Linked DNA regions of Lonchura striata. The protein of the gene in region 2 binds, or shares a complex with, the protein of the main gene of each other region. Links are inferred from orthologs where the notes say so. Each region holds a gene or a part of one and is shown on either strand. Other genes may lie near its edges.

Evidence for each region. Proteins that work in one complex are often made in the same cells at the same time.
Region 1: PLRG1 (region 2) and RBM48 share a complex: the UniProt entries of both Homo sapiens proteins name them as parts of the minor spliceosome. The link is inferred for Lonchura striata from reciprocal best matches to the Homo sapiens genes PLRG1 and RBM48.

The regions. Positions count from the first base shown.
Region 1 is NC_134603.1:133,592,711-133,596,457, forward strand, and holds the start of RBM48 (RNA-binding protein 48), read right to left. Parts: upstream 2,958-3,747; 5' UTR 2,170-2,957; coding exon 1,769-2,169; intron 1,656-1,768; coding exon 1,510-1,655; intron 1-1,509. UniProt on the Homo sapiens protein: As a component of the minor spliceosome, involved in the splicing of U12-type introns in pre-mRNAs.
Region 2 is NC_134606.1:42,273,145-42,276,891, reverse strand, and holds the start of PLRG1 (pleiotropic regulator 1), read right to left. Parts: upstream 2,524-3,747; 5' UTR 2,466-2,523; coding exon 2,457-2,465; intron 791-2,456; coding exon 684-790; intron 460-683; coding exon 317-459; intron 1-316. UniProt on the Homo sapiens protein: Involved in pre-mRNA splicing as component of the spliceosome. Component of the PRP19-CDC5L complex that forms an integral part of the spliceosome and is required for activating pre-mRNA splicing.

The DNA of each region.
Region 1 (3,747 bases), on a different chromosome or scaffold from region 2:
AACACAGTCCATTCTTAACATTCCCCCAGTGCAAAGATGTAGGCTGGAGAAATTTTTTGAAGGTTCTGGTATAGTCATATTCATTCCAAAACTCTCCCTTTGGCATGCCTGAGGAGGCTGGAACAAAGGTAAAAGTGTGATCCCAAATTTCCTGCCAGCGCTTTAAATTTCTGGTAGCACTTTGAAAGAAAACAAAAAATGAAGGAAATACTTAATTATTAAAGCTTAATAATTTCATTATTTTCGTCTTAATCAAAGCCAAAAAAATACTTTGAAAAGGATATAGTTCTCTACATATTGCGAGATGTCTCCCTGTAAACATACTTAAAATGCTTCTGTATTGGGTTTGCATGACCCCTTTTTTTGTAGCGAGCGGGCTACAGGGTTGACTTTTGTGAGAAGCTGCCAGATTCTTTCACCATGTCCAGCAGAGCCAATTCCTGGTGGCTCCAAAGATGGATGTGCCACTGGGCAAGGCCAGGCCGATTAGAAATGGCGGTAGCACCTCTGTGGTAACAGATTTAAGCAGGAAAATAAACAAGAAGTGTTTGTGCAGTTGTAGCTGCGGCCAGAGAAGAGCAGAGCGAGCCCGTGCGAGAAGCAGCCCTGCAGACGGCGAGGTCGGGGCAGGAGGGGCAGGAGGGGCTCCGGGCGCTGGAGCCGAGATTCCCTCAGGCCGCGGGGCCGCCATGGGGAGGCCGCTGTGCCCCGCAGCCCGTGGGGGCCGTGGGGATGCGGGATCCGCCACAGCCCGGGGAGGAGCCCCGGGCCGGAGCACGGGCATGCCTGGGAGGAGGCTGCGATCCCGGGGGAGACCCGTGGAGAGGGGCCCGGCTGCGGGCGGGAGCAGCCTGGCCCTGGAGGATGCACCCCGGAGCAGTGACCCACCCTGAGCGGGCTGGGGAGGCTGTGCCCGTGGAGGGACCCGTGGCAGCAGCTCACAGGGAGCTGCCGCTCCGAGATGCGCTCACGCTGGAGAGTTCACAGGGAACCGCCTCCCGAGCCTCCCCGGGGGCAGCAGGGGAGCGACTCCTCTCCCTGAGCAGCGGGAGAAGCCATGGGTGATGAGCTGACCATTACCCCCATTCCCTGTGCCCTTGCACTGCTGGGCAGGGGATAGACCTGAGAAGGGAGGAAGGTGGTTATAAGGGCTTATTTAATTCTCATCCTGCTTTGAGTTTGTTAGAAATAATTTCACATTATGTCTCCAAGTAGAGCCTGTTTTGCCTTGATGGTATTTGATAAGTGATCTTCCTCCTGCTCCTTATCTCAACCCATGAACTGTTTGTTAAATTTTCTCTCCTCTGTCCGGTTTGTGGACGGCAGTGAGTGAGCAGCTTTGGTGGACACCTGGCATCTGGCCACCATCCACACACTATAGCATCTTTAAGAGGTAGGTAAAAAGTTTTCTTTAACAGGCACTTTAGCCAAAACCCCACCCAGTCCTGAAGAACATTAAAATTTTATAGGAAATTTAGTCAGGATTCTATAGAAAATTTAATCACTAACCTCTTTGATTTGTTGCTTTTGCTATATACTTTCTTCTATCCTGCAACTTCTCTCTAGTTTCTTGGACTGTTTCAAATTCTGGAGCATAGCACACGTGCAGCAAACTACCAAAGAAACTTCGTTCATCCATTTTTTTCTTGGCCACCCTGAAGGGAATTAAAGTCTATCAACAAAACTGAGGATTTTACTTAACACATTGCAAGTACAGAAGGTGTAAAAGATTAAGACAGCAAGAGGCAGATATTGCCCTGTCCAATACCTTGCACATTGCAGTTTTTTGAATTTTATAAGGTACACTTCAGTAAACTGCTCTGCTGGATATTCATCTAAAGCATGATATTCCTCAATGGCACCATATAATGCAAATTGTTCAACTAACTCCTTCATAACACCTAATGCAGGAACTCCTTGTATCAGTAAGTAGCGAGATTCCAAGTTGATAGTGTAAACCTGAAAAAAACAAAAACAAAGACTATGAAAAAACATTCCCATTCTTGCTTTATTGCAAAAGGCATGCATTTTCTCCATGTTCTCTGTTTTTCTCCAAATCCTCTCAGGATGCTGAAAACCCACATGTACTGTTTTGCAGGGCAGTAAGTGCATGGTCATTTGGGACCTCTTCATCACTGAGCAAGAGATGAACTCATGCCTCTCATGCATAGTAAAACACAAATAGACTTGACTTTTCTACACAAAGTCAGAGTACTACTGCCAGTTCCCAAGTAAAATCTCTTACATCTCTGGCCATCTTCCATGCAAGACATACTAGTGACCAGTTTATAGGACATGCTGTCAAAATACAGAAAAAAAACACTGAAAAATTGGTCTTCATAGCCAAAGAAGTTGTGCAAGTGAGGAAAACTGCTTTTTTCCACACAGGGAGTAAAAAAATAATTACCACAATTCCCTGGGGTAAATCCTGTGTGTGCAGAGCTGTCTACTTCCCATGGTGATCCAACAGTGTACATTTTTAAGACACACAGATAAAATCTGTATGCTGAGAAAAAGAAGGTCTTCTCTCAGCAAGTTAAAAATGAAACCAACCATTCTTATTTGCTTTGTGACTGTCACATAACAGACTCTAAGCAAAGCTTGTTGATGGCTCACTATGTACAACAGACAGCTAGGCAGGTTATCCCTGAGATTAAAGGAAATTTATTCTGAGTTTGTTAAAAAAAACCCCAAACCACAAATATTTAGACTGCATAAGTTACACATATTTCTTAAAAAAACCCCATATTCTGGACAAAGTGAGAACTGCTTGGGAAATCAACTCTCAAACTTCCACTATAAAAGTTTCTGCAGGCAGGTCATGTAAGTTTTCTTGTGGCAGCTGCACACTCCCACCTACATTCTTTTGGGAACAAGGGATTGAAGGAATTTCAGGCTTTCACTATGTGACTGGTTTTTTTGGGAAGGTTTGTCCTTCTACCTCTTTCTTGTCCAGGAAGAAAAGATTCTAATAAGGTTTTTTCCACACTTGGGACATCCATACTGTTTCTCCTGTGTGTCTCCTCCAATGCCCAGTGATGGCTGGATGCCTGTGCTGGCCAGAGCTCTGTGGATGCACAAGGCTCTCTGTCCTCTGCCTCCCCATGTACACTTGGAAGAATAAAAGAACGTAACAGCTTTGAGACTTCATGAACTATGGAGGGTTTGAAATTTTACAGGAAGGTGGCACTGGCGAAAAAGATGTCCCTATGTTTGTGGGCACGCAGTAACCCTTATTCCAGCACTGGTGAGATTGCGCCTCGAATCCTGGGTTCAGCTCGGGGCCTCTCTCCAAGACACTGAGGTGCCAGAGCATGTCCAGAGAAGGGTCACAGGTCTGATGAGGAGCAGCTCAGCGAGCTGGGGGGCTCAGGTTGGAAAAAAGGTGGTTCGGGGAGTCATCATCGCTCTCTACAACTCCTGACGAGAGGCTGGAAACAGAAGCGGTTGGACTTCATGATCTTAAAGGCCTTCTCCAACCTTAGCGCTTCCTTTCTCGCGCCAGCCTCCAAGGTGCCGCTACGGCTCACTGTACACAGAGCGCACACAGAGATACCAAAGCTCTCAGCTCTGCCGCAGTAACGAGAAGCCCCGGCCGCGCAGCAGGCCAGGCCCAGGGCCTCCCTCTCTCCCTCCCGGGAGCCGCGGGACTCCAGCGCAGCCCCGGCCGCCCCCAGCCCCTCACGGAGGCGGCTCCGCCCGCTCACGCCCGCCCGGCACCTTCACGGCGCGCGGCCGCCACCCCTC
Region 2 (3,747 bases):
TAAGAAATACATTACTCAACTGTAACACCTAATACACTAACAACTCCACACACTAATGTTACCAAAAATTACTCTTTTTACTAATTCATCACTATAAAAATCCACAGCACCCAATAACTCCTTTGTTAAAAGCAAAGTGATTTCTGAATCACTTACCACCTGTGGACCCTAGCAAAAAAATACCAATCAAAAAAGGGTTTTTTTTGATTTCTGCATTTATCTCCAGTGGATTAACGCTAGACTGCATTCTGAAGATTTTACATCACTGAGACTGTTACAAAAGAAAGAACAAATATAGCACTAGGGGCCAACTAACCTTGATTTCCAGAATACTGTTTGTGTCCATAGGGATCCCCCGTGTTGGCGCCTCCTTTCTCCCTCAGGTTCTCTTTGAGCGTGGGCATGTGCAGCACTGAGCCGTACTCCGTGCGCAGCTTGACAGCCATCTTCACCTTGTGACTGTGGCAAGAGAAAAGCAAAATCCTCACTGAACCCCACTTTCTGAACCGCTACCAGGTTTTGAAATATCTTAGAGAGGATGTCATAAAACTTAACTTTACAACCCTAATATTTCTCTCCCCTCAAAACTACACTGTTGCCAGTACAGAAATATCTGAATTTCTGACTTGGGTGGAGCAATCACTGACAGAGTTTAAAACTTCACTGAGTGCAGCAGCACTTACCTTTCTTCATCCAATGGGATAGGTTTGGCATTATCAGCTACAAACATGTCATGGGTTCTCTTCAAAGACCTGAACACAAGTGTGTGCACAGAATGCTTTTGCACTTCCTAAAATAAAGAAAAGAGTATTTAAATAAGTTTGAACAGATCTACATCAAAAACTGAAAACTGAAACATAAATTGAACTGAGTAGCAATTTCTCAGTTCTATGACATGCAACCATTTGGTTCACAGAAGACACTAATATTCTTGGAAACTAAAAAGTTAAGTTATTATGTCAGTTGTTTTACTTCAGTGTTTATTCAAAACTGTATTCTATTCCTTGAAAACTTACAAGAATTTGAAAAGCAAGCCAAAAACTTTAATCCAACTTTCTGCACTGGCATTTACATGACAAATCCATGAATATAAAAGCTTTTATCCCACGTCCTTCCCAGTTCTGTTTTCATATGTAAGCAATATAGAAGCCAATTCAGAAAAACAAACAAACAAACAAAAACCACCTGTACATTTTCCTTCACTACCACTGTGAAAAGAACATGAGCAGTCATTAATTTCTATGTACAGTACCACTTCATGTTAACATGGCTAATCACCACCCAAAAACAGCAGCTGTTGACAAACAGAGGAGTAGGTACCACCATGTCTCCCCAACAGGGAAGAAACTTGCTGCAAGTAATTTTTGATGGATGCTTTTTGAAAAAAAATAGCTCATAGTGTTGCATCAGGCAGCAGTTGTTGCACCTTCTTCTACAACTCTGACAGCCCCACATGCCTTCAGAAGTGCATGATATTCACTCCACAGTAAAGATTCTACCACCTGTAAAACCAGTGGCCTCCTCCACAGGTGTGCTCGCAAGGCCTCACAAAAGAAGCTGGCTGACAGAGTCAGCAGTAGGTTTCTGGTGGTTAAACATCACAGCATCACTTCCCCACAATCACAGAACAGAATGTACTGAGCTGGAAGTGGCTTACAGGGATCACGGAGTCCAGCTCCTGGCCCTGCATAGGACACCCCAAGAGGCACATCCTCTGTGCCCAAGAGCATTGTTCAAATGCTCATTGAACTCTGTCAGCCTTGCTGCTGTGATCACTTCCCTGGGAGCCTGTTCAAGCACCCCTCCACCCTGACCTTTGCCTGATATCCAACCTAAACCTCCCCTGACACAGCTTCAGGCCATTCTCTTGGACCACCACAGATCGGATCCACGATCAGATCGGAGCCTGCTCCTCTGCTTTCCCCTCGAGAGGAAGCTGTAAACTGAAATGAAGTTTCCCTTCACCCTCTCCTCCAGGCTGAATATGGCAAACGACTTCATCCATTCCTCACTCCGACCATTCATTCTGACTATTCATCTCCATATGCTTTATACCTTTTCCCGATGTTGTGGTACCCAAAACAAACCCCAGCACTCGAGGTGAGACCGCCCCAGAGCAGAGCGGGACAATCCCCTCTGGTGACGAGCTGGCGGCCCGATGGGCCCCAGCGCCGGCATTCGGCACAAGTCTGGCAAAGCAAAGCCGCTGCTCACTCCCGGCCACACACGCACACTCCGACCCGCACCTCGCTGTCCCCGGGCCGCAGCGGGCGGGGCCGCGCAGATGGAGGGGCCGCCACGGACCATCCCTACAGCCCTTTCCCACCCGGGGACTGCGAGGGTGCAGGGCGGCGCTTCTCCCGCCCGGCCCCAACCCGCTCCCGCTCCCTGGTCTCGCCCGGAGCGTCTGCAGGCCGCGACAGAGCGAAGGCGCGGGGCCGCTCCCCGTGCCTCACCTCCGCCATGGCGCCGCCGGGCTCCCCCGCCGCGGCCGCTCTGGAGCCACTTCCGGCGCCTTCCCGCGCCGGGCCGGAAGTGACGCCTGAGCCCGGGCGGAGGCGCCGAAGCGGCGGGGCGGGGCTTATGGCAACCCCTCCACTCGCTGTGCGGTGGTTCAGGGTTCGAGCCCCGCTGGCGCTACCGGAGCAGCCGGTGCGAGTCACTTCAGCAATGTGTACAAATATAGAGAGGGGTGGTGACAGGAGAATGAAACCAGGCTCTGTCGGTGGTGCCAAGCAACAGGACAAGAGGCAGTGGGCAGAACCTCATGCACAGGAAGTTCCACCTGAGCATGGGGAAAGCGGCACAGAGAAGTGGCGGAGTCTCCATCACTGGAGATAATCGCAGCCCTGTGCCGCATGCTCCGGGATGGCCCGGCGGGATCCGATGACCGCACTCACTGCGGTCCCTCCGGCCGGAGCCATCCGCGGCCATCCCGGGGCGCGCTGTCCCCGGCGGCGGGCGCGGCGCAGTGCGGCCGGCGGCCGGCAGAGGGCGGTGTGGCGCTGCGGAGAGGCGGGAGCGGCCCGGCCCGAGCGCTGCCCCGCAGGATGCGGGATCGAGCCTGGGCTGGGCAGTCCCGCTTCCTTGGGCCTGAAACTATCGCACTTTGCAAGTGTTTAGGGCCGTGGGGCTACAGGGTTCATGTGTTGCTTTCCTCGTGAGTTCTCAAGGGTAAAGCCATACGGTGTTGAACTGCGGCGATATTGGATGTTAGCCATTATAGCTGATCTTTTGGGAAGGGTGTCTTTAGTTTGGCTCCACAGGACCTCATTTTGATGAAGAGCAAAGGGTGTGAACAAGCTGGCGACCCCTGTACTTCATGTCAAAGTGTTGGCTGTGAAAGGGCAGAGGCTATAATTCTATTACAAACGTACCCTGTTAGTCCACCAGGTATTTCACTTCCATTTGTGAGCAGAATAACTAAATGCATTTGTGCAAATTTCAAATAGGCACCTACTTTCTCCACATATACTCACCTGTTCTTAATTTTAAGAAGTCTTGTCCTCCTGAGCAGTAGCTGGGATTTGGCAAGCTCATCTTTTGCAGCCACTCCGTCATGATGCTCTTCTTTACCACCAAACCAGCCACTCGCTCTGTCTGCTTGCCTGCATGCCTGAGCTGTGAACAGTTTGCAAAACCATCTGAGCTAGAAGTAATTCAGTGCAACATAGCTGGTTCAAAACTGCTGTCTTCTACAGGACAGCGTTAGCTTGGCATTTCTGGCACACAGCTTGCCTACTTGAC